Linked DNA regions of Astyanax mexicanus. The protein of the gene in region 2 purifies or fractionates together with the protein of the main gene of each other region. This does not show direct contact. Links are inferred from orthologs where the notes say so. Each region holds a gene or a part of one and is shown on either strand. Other genes may lie near its edges.

Region 1 (7,814 bases), on a different chromosome or scaffold from region 2:
GTGAAAGTATTATTAAACATCTCAGTAATTGTAATTAAGCTTTTAATACATCAGAGGGTAAAAAAAAAAAACTCACCATTTGTGTTATCTCCAAAAGCATGGACGTGAAATCCGTGCAGGCCAGGAGTGAGGCCAGTGATCTCACCTGAAACCTTTACTGGAGCACCATCACCCTGAAACACCAGAGCACTTACTGTCAGTCTCTAACAAACACACGTTTTGTTACACATTTGCTACCTCTAGGAACAGAAATGTACAGGATGGCACAGTACTGTACATCTTTTGGCATGCATATGCAAAAGTGACCTTGCAGGACTGTGCAATACCAAACTAGCAAGCCCAGCTCTGTCCTGGGGTCCTCTGGATCCAGTGGAGGTGGTGAGAGACAGGAGATTGAGGTCTAAGTTTTAGTACATGCTAAAGAACCTGTCCCAAACCCATGCACCAGCAGTGTGTGAAGGAGAAATACTGCAAGTCCTTCCTCCCACACACCATCAGACTGTACAACACACCATGCTCTCAGTAAACACTCGTTTACTATTTTATTACTACATGAAAACTACTTGCTCAGTATAGCTGTATTGTGTGCAATGTGCAAATTCACCATGTGTACCATGTTCTCTTTATCACCATTTGTGCAATATGTTTACTGTGCAATATTTCTCACCTTTCATCTACTATTCATTTGCTATTTATTCACTGTTAGTCCTTGTGCAATAATACTGGTCACAATCTACCATAATCATAACTTATCTGACTTTATCTTATCTGCACTATATGTATATACTTAAAAAAAAAAAAAACACACATTTTATATATATATATATATATATATATATATATATATATATATATATATATATATATATATATATATATATATATATATAGATGATATCCCCGATATACATATCAAAGTATAGTCTGTTAAAATGAATGACAGAATTTATTGTGAAATATAGAAAAGTGCATTGTTTAAATTCATTAAAAACTATTTTATAAATTGTTAAACTGAGGGCACATTTTAAAGTCTCTAAATTGATAACCTAACTAAGCTAATGTTAACTACTCACAGCTTTGTAGCTACAACTGTGACATGGTTTTATTGATAGATAGAAGATGAATACTAGCTCCTATATAGTTAGATAATCCACCCTTAATATATATATATATATATATATATATATATATATATATATATATATATATATATATCAGTTAAACAATTATAAAGAGTAGGGGTGTGTCATATTGTATCATTCACAATTATATCGCCAACATTTTTGAATATCGTAAACGTTATTATACCTGGAAATATCGTGCCGTATCACCCACCTCTTATCACATTAGGGTAGTACTTTTAAAGAAACATTCACACTGTTCTCATTGTTCATTATATGTATCTACTAGAGACAGATAATATCTGTCCAGTATCATTTAATTTACTTTAGTCCTGGATATATGGAGATATCTGGAGTGCATAAATAGTACAATGACAATGAGATTTGATAGAATTCTTGTATTTTTATTTTGTATCGTTATCGAGAATAAAAAAAATACCACGAAATACCGTGATATTATTTAATAAAACGAGTTATACGCAATGCTCCAGCTCTAGGCTGTTTAGTTTGTGCATGTTCAACTTGCAAACTCGTTTTTTTGGATGAATTAACCGCACGATGCAAATGACTCAGCAAGAAGTTTGGACTTGGGTCTGCGGCCGTGCAGAGGTTAACTCCCTTTTACCCAGTTTAAACTCTGATCTGGTGATTATGCCTTTTCCCCACACAGCTATTACTTATTACTACACTTATCCAACAGTAGTTAGTCGAGCTAATACTATGATACATGTAACGTTAGGTAATTAGCAGTGCTATGTTTAATGACGAGGAGCATAAACTGTAACCTAACCTAGTTGATTTAACTAGAACTAAATATATAAACCATAGTTTTCCCGTGTTTGTGACTAAAGTGAGATTTATGGAGCAGGAGATTTAGCTTGCATTAACACACAGAAAGGTGCAGCAGGATTAGCAAGGTCTGTATGAAATGCCGCTGCGCTCGTTACAAAACACTTAGCAAACCACACAGCATAGCTGCTAACCACGGGGCTCGCTAGCGGAGGAGGAGCAGAGCTACACCGGTGTTCTGTCAAGTTATGCTACCCATCGAGATATGCTTCCTAAAGGCACTGCGCATGCGCTGACCTACACCATTTAATTATTTCTTCTGTTTTTTCTTTATAATGAATAATTTTTTGTGCGGTAAACAATCTGGCCTCGCTAGCATTGCACAAAAGCGCAAAATTAAATCGACAATAATAATAAATACAATTTACTATTATTGAAAAAGAAAATACAAAAGCAGTTTGTAAAGACCTCTCATTGACATAACTTTAACATGATACAGTGATTTATTCTGTTCAAATATACTAACCCGCATCTAACTTACTGAGAGATCTGCTGGGAACGTTCTCTAAAATTGTTCTTTTTTTGTATTTTTTCCAGTTAAATATAACTTACACTAAGGTAGCGCGGTTTTGACATGGTAGCATAACTCGACAGAACACCGGATACTGTCCTTATATGAGCTAAAAACGTCAACAAATCAGGTTTGGTGATTAAAAAACCTGCAGGACGCGCTCTAAAGCACTAAAGACCCGGGTATTATCTAACATGTTAGTTAGCATTAGCTAGTAACCCAGCTGAAGCAGTGCACACCGCTCGGAGTCTGCGGGCTCGCGCCGAGTTGACACAGCAACTCAGCAGGTTAGCTAGCACAGCCAGCTCGCGCACTCCTGCACAGAAAAGTGTAAAACACCGCAATTATTCATCTACCTGCTCAAAGAACACCGTTCCGGTCACCTCTCCGGTCCCCTTCAGCACACACACAGCCTTATGCACCATGTTTATCAGAGCTCTGTAGAACTGACCCTCTGAACTGAGCTCAAAAACCCGACTCACCGCCCAGCGCTGTTTGATAAGGCGAGAAGCGACGTACTTCTCTCCAGCCAATCACAACCGCGGATCGCAGCGGGGCAGCTGATTGGCTAAGAGGCCAGGCATAAATTAGACCGGTGATGATGATTGGCTAGAAGCTCAAGCGAAAAGATAGCGCGTCGACTGCTAGCTCATATAATCTGATAAAAAAATTATTATTTTAAATCAGATTTTTTTAGGGAAGGCATAATTATATATTAAAATAACATAAATAACATACATTCTGTAAAAAGAACAATGAGCAAATAAACGAATGAATAAATACATAATACATGTGTATCTCCAAAAATTAGAATATCATTGAAAAGTTACTTTATTTCAGTAATTAGTTAAAAATGTGAAACTCATTTATTATATAGATGTATTACACACAGAATTATATATTTTAAGCGTTCTTTTATTGTTGATTATTATGGCTTAATTAGTGTCTCAAATGATTATAATTAGAATATTATACAAACCCTTTGGTTTTGGCAGTGTGGGCCATGTGCCAAGTCCTGCTTAAAAGTGAAACCCACATCTGATGGTTTGAAGAGTCGTAGTCTTCTGCTAGTGTTGGTCCACTGTGTTATATCAAGTCCAAAGTCAGTGCAGCTTTACAAACAAATTTAGGATTAATTATTTTCCATTAACAACACTGATAAATACAACCTGACTACAACAAAATAAATGCAGTGCAGATTTCACTCTTTTTTTAATTATGAACGGACCTGAACAAATCCCTTGTCTTAAGTAACTATTATTTGTACAAAACTCTGCATGTATTTGTCCACTATTTTAATATGTAATTTTCAGATCCAGAATCTTCTCTAAACTCTGGTTAAACTGTCTTAAATAAACATTTGGTGTAATAACTTACTATTAAAGAGTTTTTAGAGGTTCAGAAGTCTAGATAATTTTACTTGGCATAGCATGATTTCCTTATTAGGAATTTGTTAATATATCACATCTTAGCTGTAAAAAAAAAACAATAAAAGCAAATATCGATCGATTTTTTGACAAATTTTATTCAAAACAAATAAATAATTAGTGTGAAAATGATAAAGATCTGATATAGGTCTGACGTACAGCAGAAAGTAGACTGCTTACAGTTTTAACAAGACCAGATTAACCAGTTTCTGCTGTGTGTGCTAGACTGGCTAATCCAAAACATTACATGAATGTAATGTTAGCATTACCATTAGCTACTTTAGAGAGCAATATCAAATGTTTCAGCACTGCAGGTGTTATTTTATTATTTTTAATGCTTTTAAACGGCAGTTATAAACCTTTTAAACTTGCTATTCAGGCTGTATCTCCAGCTTCAGCTCACTAACCACAGTAGCTGTAATGCTAACACCTTTACTGCTTAAAACCTGATTAATTTTCAAAATTGTGATTGGTTATTATTTTAAGCTGATTTTAGCCAATTAACTTAATTCACACCCTTTCAACAATTTAGACTCACTCATGGGTATTCTGCTGTCATTTCTGATATAACAGGTGATACAAGACGTGAGCAGGCTCTCTATAAACTGACTGATTCTACCCAACAACGGAATAGTGGTTAAACTTGTTCCCTTTTTCATCAGTTAGCATTTCCTCTTATTATTACCTTTAAAAGTCATCACTTCCCTCATTTATATTCACATTGTTGCTGTCAAACAAAAACTTAGGATCTCCATTTTTTTTCTCTACTTGTTGTATTTACTTTTTTTTTAATCTTTTCACTGAGTCACACGGTCATGATATAAAGACCAATTCAAATTCTCCAAAATTACCTGAAATAAAAAATCTTTTTACACTGACCTTCAGTTATGAAGATTTGTCTTCTCCTTAAGAGTTACAGTATCTGACAAGTGAGTGTCAAGTAGTCAAAATAACTCAACACACAGCAACTAATATCTAAAGCGCCGGCAACAAAAGTGAGTACAAGTGAAACTGACCAAATTGTTTCCAATGAACCATTTTCTATCCCAATGTCATGTGAGAAGTTAGTTTCACAAGGTGTCAGGTGTGAATGGAGAGCGGGAGTGTTAAATTTAGGTTTTAATCACCGTCACACTCTCTCATACTGGTTACTGGAAGTTCAACATGGCACCTCATGACAAAGAACTATGAGAATGGCCTGGGAAATAATAAGATTGCCAACGCTTTGAAATTTAAATTGCAGCTTGGTGGCTAAAACCATAGAGCAGTTTAACTGGAGAGGATCGACTCAAGTGTCGACCAAAGAAGTTGAGTTCACATGTTCAGCGTAATATCCAGAGGTTGGCTTTTGAAAAGAGACATACAAGTTCTGCCAGCACTGCTGCAGAGGTTAAAAAGGGGGGGAGGGGGGGGGGGGGGGGGTCAGCCTGTCAATGCTCGCTTTGTGAAATACTGCAGCATTTGGATGAACATAGTTTACATCATTTAATAACTAATAAGTTTAGTTTTGTATCAAGTGCACTGTTAATGGTCTGCCTTTACGTATAATTTCTGTTAATAACAACAGGCACTCATTTACTGCCTTCTAATATAGCACAAGTAAATAAAAGGAAAGAATTTGTGCTGGTGAAACATTTGCACGACAAATACATCTACTGAAGGTCACTATAACCCCATCCTACTCAACACAAATTTGCTATGAAGACAAACAACACAGAATATGCTAGGTGGTGGTTCAAACTCATGCAATTACTTATTTTTCAGGAACAAAAATATATGAAAATTGACTCATCTGTGGAAAAAAAGATTTAAAAAATCATCACTTTCATTTACTGTTTGTCAAAATTTCTGAATACTCTAAAAATGTAATGTAAATAATTCAAAAGTATGTCACAATGTAAGAAAATAAGTTTCGTAATATGCATGTAGTAAATCAAATTTACACATCGCCAGAGAACATACAGTCCACACAAAATGAAAAATTCAGATGAGGAAATCATTCAGTTAAAGAACCTTAAAACTAAAGCATCTGAAAAAACAAGTGCTTAGTCAGTTTGTTCATTTTGGTATGAAAATAGTTTATTAAAACCAAATCCCTATTGCTGAAATATTAAACAAGTTCACATCTCCACAAACTTAAAAATTATACAAACATCTCATTTTCGCACGATGTAAACATGGCAAGTTAAAAACATTACAGCAAAAGGGTCTTTGTCTCTTATTTTAGTCAAGGTTTCCTATCTTCTCCATGTTCATGGGGAATACTTCAAAAACACACCTTACCTCCAAATCTACAAAGGTCATTTGAGTAGTGGAAGCATATTTACAGCAGATTATTTCCTTCTTAAATTTTTACCCCCATGTGTTTCTTTTTCTTTCTTTTTTTTAATTTACCTTTTTAGAATGACTGGTGCACACTCTAGACTTAGAGTATATCTGCACTGAATATTTTTTGTATTTTCCTTGGGTCCTACCCCTCTGATTTAACTTGTTAACCAATAAACAAGTTGTTTATTAATCTACAAATGTGTGTGAGCAGAAAAAAAAAACAAATAGAGCAGTGCAAGGGTGGTCCAGGATCAGGACTGGGAAACACTGGTTTAAAGCAACATTCAAGCTCCACAATGGAACACTGATTACAGAGCAGTGCTCCATGTTAGCCAGACTCTTAAAAGTCAATTACAGGATCATTGATTTTGACATTTTAGAAGGGGGACAAGGCATATAATTTATTTCTATAGGACCACAAACCATATAAATCAAGTTGTTTCTGCATCGTTTCACCTCTTTAGCCTGTAGTGTCCAAGATTAGCCAGGACATGGATGTAAAATAAACATACTATCTACATGGCTTTTACCCGATGTTCTTCTACCTTAAATATCTGGCCTTTATTTTCAGGTTTGAACCCATGTGATGCTTGATACTCATGTCTTTCCATTACCATTCTAAATGGTGTTTAGGCAAATGTTCACACAAACATGTGCATCTTGTCAAGTAAGAAAACAAAAAGAACAAATATCATATGGGCATTGCAGTCCAGGGGATAAGCGTAGCCTATGATTCGTCTGTCTTTGTTTGTTCTGCAGGTTGGTTCTGAGTTTCTGCTGCCGGTTCAGAGGGCTGTGGTTCTGCAGTCACTTCGGTGGGAGGGGGCGGAGCTTCTGCCTTGGCTTGAGTAAGTTCTTTAGCAGAGTCTCTAGACTGCTCCGAGCTGCTAGAGTCTCCGAGCGCCTCATGTCCGTTGGGTTGACTGCCTGCGTTGGACTGAGTGCCCATATTAGCCAGTCTGTCAAGTCTGTCATCCTTGTCCCAGCGGGTACTTCGCTCTCGCGTTCCCGATTCCCTGTCTCTGCGTTTGGGTCGCTCCTCACCCTCCCTACCTTGCTCTCGTCCTTGTTCCCTCTCTCCGTCCGGACTCCTTCTCCAGTCTCTGCGCTCCCGTGTCCTGTCCCACCCACCCCTCTGCTCTGCCTCCTCGTTCCAGCTCCCGAAGCGTTCCCGCCCTTCCAACTTGTCCCCTCCACGGCCCTCGCCAAACGACCTGCGTCCACCAAACCATTCCTGATCCCTGTCTCGCTCCCGGGCCGGCCCGGAATGCTCACCCCTGAAGGGCCGTCCCTCAGGATCTTCAGGTCCGTCTGGTCCTCTGGGGCCAGTAGGCCTCATGAACGGAGGCCCTGGGTGAGGAAAAGGGCCTCGCATGACATGTGGAGGGGGATGCATGCCAAATCCACTTGGTGGAGGCTCTCGATGATGCATCATCTGAGGAGGGCCCCTGGGAGCCATCATCTGTGGAGGCATGGGGGGCATGCCTGGCCGTGGAGCCATGGGGAAACGCTGAAGGTGTGGAGGGGGCATCCCTGGGGGACGTTGGAGAGGCATCATACCTGGTCTTGAACCCAAGA
Region 2 (7,553 bases):
ACTGGCCATTTAGCTGTTTTTACACTGAATGGTCCTTTTTTTTAGGAAGCCTGAGGTAAAGGAAGTGCTGGAAGCGATTCTGTACTACCATTCACAAACCCACCTCACAAAATGAATGTTTTTCACAGTTGTGGTTCATGACTCTTATAGCTTGGCCTTCACTTCAGGCCATAACTGTCAAATCTTGCTCAAAAACAAGTTTTATGATGCTAGTTTCTGCTGGCATCCTTAAGGGATTCTAATAATATGTTAGCATGAAGCTAACACAAACATTTAAAGCTTGATTTTTCAGTGAAGGGAATATATATGAATTAGATTCTATATAACTTTGTCACATCTGAAAGGGATTTAAATCTGACTCATCTTAAATCAGATTTTTTTTTAAATAATCAGATCTGTGTCACAATGAGGCAAAAATTAAACGTAATTCTTTTTATCCTGGTTAATTGAACTAGTTCATTTAAATGTGTGTTTGCTTTTCTTGTAACCACAGTACAAAGCTGATAAATCTACAGTAAACTGAAAGTATAGAGTGTATAAAATACCTTCAGAAATGCACCTGCATGTTTTTGCATTTACATAACGCTCATTCCTCTCATAGCTGCCAGGGGAGTTTCTGCAGGAACCTGAGAGGACATTTCCATAATGAAGTTCTGAAACTGACCTGAGAGAAAAAATGAAGATGAATAGAAAGAGTTTTTGCCAAACACATTAGGTCTGCATTATGTGGTGATGCAGATTATTTCATGTGTTAACATGAGGTCAGTTGGTTCTTTGTAATGCCCCTGCTCAGTAGCCCTGCAATTATCTGTAAATGAGGGGGAGTGTTGCCTCAACACGGCACCTACTGACTGACAAAAACATGTAGCCTTCCAAAGAATAAAATCAGGGATTATGTAACAAAAACAGCAATCTTTTATAGGCGAAAGAGTATATGGGGAAATTGTGGCAGATCTAAAAACACCTGTTTCTATTACACACTGGTGTCACATAGCACTGGCCATTTGTCTGTTTTATACTGAATGGTCCTTTTCTTTAGGGAGCCTGAGTTAAAGGAAGTGCAGGAAGTGATTATGTACTACCATTCAAAAGACTCACTTCACTAAATGAATGTTTTTCACAGTTGTGGTTCATGACTCTTATAGCTTGGCCTTAACTTTAAATCTGGGTAAAAACACATTTAAAGGGAATAGATTTATAAGATTTACATCTTAAAGTGACCCAAATCTGACTCATCTAAAATTGTATAAGAAAAACAAACAAACAAACAAAAAAACATATCTGTGTTACATTAGGGCAAAATTTCACCCTGGTTATTTGAACTTAGCCATGGTGAACAAAACTATTTAGTTAAGACGTGTGTTTGCCTCTCTTGTAAATGTATTCTTTTTAAGCGGTTTCTGTATTTAATTTTGCATTCCAACTTAAATGATGCAGCAGCTACTCTAACAAGCTTTCGTATGTGTCCCATACTGCTGCACTATTTAAGGTGCAAAGGAAATAATGAGAAACTAAGATCTGCCTTGTACCCACCACAGACCTCTGTGCTCCTCACATTCATTTTGTACAGACCATGCTGACCCTGTTCTCCCACCCACAACCTCATTCAAGGCCGTTTCTTTTTTTTTCAGCATTGTGTTTCCATGTTTACTCTGCTTCTCCTAGGTAGATCTGTCACACAATATACTCCACCTGGTCAGAAAAAAGGTCACACACTAATATTTGGTTGGAATGCCTTTAGCATTTTACAACATTTATTTCTTTTCTAAGATCTTGTATCGATTCCTGCAGTCGGCTGCTGCCACTGTTGGGCAAATGCAGGTATGCACCTCTTTGGTTATCGATAATTAATGTGAGAAGTGAAGTAAGTGCAAGTCGGCAAAGCCATGTCTTAAAAAAATGTATCCCTCTAGAACAGAAAAGAAAAAAGCTGAAAAAAGAGAAAAAAACAGCCAATGACAAAGGTGGGTTTGAATTACTAATTTCATAATATTTTTGTCATCCTTAACCAAAAATGATATCACGGCTTTCAAGTCCAGGTCTGGTGGTACCTCCCCATCAAAATATTGCAATATATTGAGTCTTAACCCCTGTATGATGATATGTATTGTGATATGCATTGTTTAAGCCAAGGTCACAGCCTAATTGCATGTCTTAGAGGAAGCACATGCTAGCTTTCCTCCTCACAGTAACATTGTGTTAGTCTAAGCCTGTGTTGGAGGACAATATGAATACATTGGGGAGATTATTAATTAATTAGAAGTCTGGGCCCACATGAATGAACATATTGTACAGTTTATTGACTCTGGAGGGTGGGGCAGTTTGGGTGTCAGAATGAAGCCCTGCAGAAAGAGTAGCTCCGTCAGATCAAAAATGTTGTGCACAGATCAAAGCAGCATGCCTGCAAACGCTGCAGCGAAACCTGAGCAGCAGCACCAAAAATAGTAACACAACAAAAGAGCCGTAAACCAAAGCTGAAGAATCCCCTACCTAACTTTTTCATCAGAAAAAAAAACAGAGCAGGACACAAATAGCACGGTCTGAACAAGAGGAAATATGAAACCGTCTGAAAACATATTAAAACCAAGTTTTAAACCTACTGAAAGCAGGCCTTAGAATTTGTAAAATGTTTGAAATAAAAAACAGACTTAGACCATGTAAAAATGTAGCAAAATCACATAAAAACATAATATTTTGTTATAAACCGTGCTAAAAGTATTTTTCTTTTGTAAAAATAATGTGTGATATGCTGTATATATAGTGGCTTATGCCTGCACTAATGATACAATGGAATGCAGCTTAATATAACATACAGTGATGTAAAAAAAAGTATTTGCCCCCTTGCAGATTTATTTAGTTTTTACATTTTTGTCATACTTACATTTTTCAGATTATCAAACAAATATAGAAAGCATGTTTTAAATCATGATTTCATTTATTAAGGGAGAAAACTATCCAAACCAATCCAGCCCTGTGTGAAATATTCTTTGCCCCCCAAAAATTAACTGTGATTAAGCACACTTTTTGGAAAGCTGAGTTCAGGTTACATAAACACAACCAGGCCTGATTACTGCCAGACAAGTGTAGAATCAAGAAATCACTTGAAAAGCACTTGTCGGACAACATGAAGCAGATAAAAGATCTCAAGAAGCAACACATTATTCCGTGATCTGAAGAAATTCAAAAATAGATGAGAAAAGTCACAGTCATTTCTAAGGCTTTGGGACTCCAGCGACCCACAGAGAAAGATATTAATCACAAAAATAGAAAACATGGAACACTGGTGGACCTTCACAGCAGGGACCAGCTGAACTAAATTATTACAATACATAATTTCAGAAAAAGAACATTATACTGAATGTCAGGTAGTGTGATTTTCTGGGTCTGCTTTGCTGCTTCAGGACCTGAACAATTTGCTCTAATAGACACAACCAGGAATTCAGCTTGTTTCCAGACAATCCTGAAGGAGAATATCGGCCCTCTGTTCGTGACCTTAAACTCGGGCGTACTTGGGTTCTGCAGCAGGACAATGATCTAAAGCACACAAACAAGTCCACATCTGAATGGTAAAAAAATAAGTGGCCTAGTCCAAATCTGATTGAGATGCTGTGGCACGATCTTAAACAAGCAATGTTTATGCTCAAAAACCTGCAATGTGTCTGAATTAAAACAATTTTGTAAAGAAGAGTGAGTCAAATTTCTCCACAGAGATGTGAAAGACTCATTGCCAGTATTTGGTAAAACTTGATTGCAGTTGTTCACGCCAAGAATGGCACAACCAAGTTATTAGCTTTATTAGCCACTTTGATCAGGAGATCGCTGGTTCGAATCTTCATCCTCATCCTGGGTGGGTAGATGGCGCTCTCTCCCCACATCACTCCTAGATTGATATCGAGCAACACAAGGCGTCTGTGAGCTGATGTTTTGGAACTGAGTTGCTGCGCTTTCCTCCAAACGAATCAGCAATGCTCCATCAGCAGCAGTTTGAACAGAGGTGGTGGAGGACCTCACATGTATTGGTGGAGACATGTGTTAGTCCTCACCTTCCTGGTGTTGGGGCGTCACTAGTGATAGGGGGAGAACTAATGAGGGGGTTGGGTATCTGGACTTGTAAAATTGGGGTGAAAATGGGATAAACAATAAAAAATAAAAGTATTTATATAATTTACATCAACAATCATTCGTCACAAGGTAGACCAAAAAATTTATCAAAGAACATAAATCAAACATAAATTAAATTTGACCTCATTAACTATACATATACAGTAAATAACAGATGTGACGGAAAAAGAAAAAAAGCCAATATTAGTCGGATCTATGACCTGTTATGGTAAGCTCTCGCGAGAGACCCGATTTTAAAACAATTTGAGAATTGCAGGCAGCCGGCGCGTTCCAATTCAACAGTTTCACTCTAACCCTCGCCTACTCGAACTCGATCCCTTGCAAGTCATGGTATTGGCAGATATGCGGACTTGGAGGAGGAGGCGGGGCTTAGAGTTTAGATGGTGAATTTGGACGGGGCCGAAGGGAGAGGGAGAGAGAGAGAGAGGCGGTTACAGTGACTCAGAGAGAGAGAGAGCAGAGAACGGTGGGGAGAAGTCGATAAGTTTCAAGTAAGGAACAACTCTAAAAGCGTTTATTTTAACTCGACTGTGGTGTTTGTCGCTCCTTCCCGCCTAGTGGAATGAAATGCTGTTACGTGGGTGACTCGAAAGGTAAGATATTTCTGAGAGAAAAAAAATCTCTTCGCTTTTCTCACAACTTCAAATATATCCAACCGTCGTCAGATAGCCTAGCATAAATAACGTTTACAGTTCGCCAAACAAAGCGTAAAAGACGCTTTAAAGGTCGACTCTGTTCATCTGTTAATCAGCGCAAACCGAGTTTAAGGTCGACTCTTTGTGTTTTAGTTTGTGTTTTGTGTGAAATGTTCGTCTGTAGTTTAGAAGGGGGAATCTACAGAGAACACAAAATAGCTTTAATAAGCAGCAGGCCTGGGAGTTAGCTAACCTGTGTTAACGCTAGCTAAGCTAACCTAGGTGTAGCTAGCCCGCCCGCTAGCCGCATATCTCTCTGCTCTGGCGGTGTGTTTCGTTTCCTTTTGTTAGCTACATTTGATACAAATATGAGCTTCGTTTGATGTATTAGCTATTGTATATTAATAAGGTATGTGTTGTATTGTTGGTATTTAATCATCCGTTTGGTCATTTGTATCGGTTATAGCTAACCCTTGCTTCCTTCACGCTTAGCCGTAGTGTAAAGTCAAGGTTTTATAACTGAACAGAACCTTAATGTAATTAACGTGTTGAATTTAACGATACTTTGTACAGGACTTTAGAAAACACCCCGCTGTTACTAACTGTAATATAAGCGTCGGTAGCTAGTTTGTTAGCTAGGTCACTGTGTGTGGTAGTGTTGGAAGAGGCGTTAGCTTCTGATTTATATAAGACTCCAGACGCGAATAAAAATCTTGGTAAATCCCTTTATAAAAGCTTGTTTGTTGCCGGGCTGTGAAATGATCCTGCCATGAGAGATTTCACCATTAATCTGTCCTTCGGCTTCCTACAGGGATTTCTCTGTCGTAATACTGAGGGTATGAGTAAGTTTTAGTGAAGTGTGTTGTACTTTATTCCTGCTTCTGTAATGTGGAGCTGGATTTTTAGACATTGCCTAATCGTGGGTGGTCTGAATCAGGGATGCACGATGATCTGGGATGCAGATCAGTCTTAGCAGCTAAGTTAGCTGATTGTTTGTTTCTTGTTTAAGCATTGTAAAATATGTTCAGAATTTACATCAGCACAGTGTATACATACGGCTCTGAAAAAAAATTATGAGCCCATTTTTTTTTTTTTTACAATTTTTACCATTTATAGGTATATGTTTGAGTAAAATGAACATTGTTCTTTTATTCTATAAACTATGGACCATATTCTGCCAAATCCCAAATAAAAATATTGTCATTTATAGCATTAATTTGCAGAAAATGAGAAATGGCTGAAATAACAAAAAAATATGCAGAGCTTTCAGACCTCAAATAATACAAAACCTACAAAAACAAGGACATATTCATAAAGTTTGGAAATAAATATTTGGTAGCAGTTCAGCTTGGTTTGATGGCTTGTGATCATCCATCATCAGATTTTTAAATGGGTAAAATCAAAAACTCATCATTTTAAGTGCTCTCTTATTTTTTCAGAGCTGTATATACATTATGTGATTTAAATGTGACTTTTTTGTTAGTTTTCAAGAAGTTTTCAAGTTTTTTTCATTTATTTCTTTTTTATTTAAGAAAGACACACTTTTTTTAAGACCATGTTTTTTTTAAGATTGGTAGTTTTGTGGTTAAAAAAAATACATGGTTTTGTCTTTTGTGTGTGTGTATTTCTGGGGCTTAAAGCTTACAGGCTTGATGGCATGTGTGCTAAACTGATTGTCACTAGCAACAAGTTACTTCTGAAAGTGTTTGCCCTTTGTCTAAATTATTTTAAAACATTAGATGAATTTAAAACACCATACGAAATGAAGCATCATACTACCAGCACTATCAACATGCCACAGTAGAATAATATACCGAAGCACACCATGAATTCTGTCAAACTTTATACACCTATCTCACTGTATCAGATAAGGTTCATGCTGGCAGTAAAGCAGGGTACATGGACTGTCCCTACATGTGGAGGGTACAGTTCACTGCAGTAAAGCCAAATTATGATTTTAGCTTCCTACCTTATGCCATATGTATTATTTTAGAATTTTAGTCTTACAGAATGACAAGATATTACAGGATTTTGCACAAAAATGTCTACCAACGCTATCCATTTTCTGTAAACATTGTCTTAGACATTTTATTAGTTATGTTATGTGGTGGCAGTGGTAGAGGTGTTTCAAGGAGTTTGCAAAGAGGTGCAAAGGAGCTTCAAGACAGTGTGCAACAGTAATAAAATACTAGCATAACAATAATATTACACCATTTTACAGTGAAACTAACTTTTATATTATTAAGAACAGACACTGGGCTTCCAATTTACAAATATTTTAATGTTCAAAATAAATCAAATAAAGTACAACCACCCTGGGACTTTGTGGGTTCTGAGAAAACTGCGCTAAATATTAAACAACAAAAAGTAACAACGTATAGATAAGTAACATTTACATTAATACAACTTTTTTTTAAAACTCTGGACATAACACAAAGGCACTTGCAGATTATCCTTTTTTGATTATATATGTCTATACTGTAAAACACAAATTGGCGTCCAAAGACACAAGTGTCCATATGATCACACAGATGGTTGAGCAGGCAAGAACTCTTGCTATAAAGGGAATTTTTAACATAACTGTCAGACAAATTCTGAGCAAGGGACGCAAACATGTTTATCATGTGGGGCTTGATGCAGGATCTCTCTGAGGGTAACAATATTCATATTCAATATTCAGCTCGGAAAATTGGCTGGATTGTTGTGCTTTAAATGAGATCGCAACTTCGTTTCCACTGTTTTGAAACAAGTCAACATACCGTCTCTTTCGCGTTGATGGTTCTCCTCGCTGTTATC

The links. Proteins that work in one complex are often made in the same cells at the same time.
Region 1: the proteins of rnf19a (region 2) and sod1 purify together in Homo sapiens (affinity purification with western blotting, with the first as the bait; 3 studies listed by BioGRID). This does not show direct contact. The link is inferred for Astyanax mexicanus from reciprocal best matches to the Homo sapiens genes RNF19A and SOD1.

What each region holds. Positions count from the first base shown.
Region 1 is NC_064427.1:36,970,493-36,978,306, forward strand, and holds the start of sod1 (superoxide dismutase [Cu-Zn]), read right to left. Parts: upstream 3,003-7,814; 5' UTR 2,907-3,002; coding exon 2,838-2,906; intron 174-2,837; coding exon 77-173; intron 1-76. Other genes in the region: scaf4a (SR-related and CTD-associated factor 4), read right to left, coding at 6,964-7,814. UniProt on the Homo sapiens protein: Destroys radicals which are normally produced within the cells and which are toxic to biological systems.
Region 2 is NC_064410.1:32,967,688-32,975,240, reverse strand, and holds the start of rnf19a (E3 ubiquitin-protein ligase RNF19A), read left to right. Parts: upstream 1-4,540; 5' UTR 4,541-4,684; coding exon 4,685-4,715; intron 4,716-7,553. UniProt on the Homo sapiens protein: E3 ubiquitin-protein ligase which accepts ubiquitin from E2 ubiquitin-conjugating enzymes UBE2L3 and UBE2L6 in the form of a thioester and then directly transfers the ubiquitin to targeted substrates, such as SNCAIP or CASR.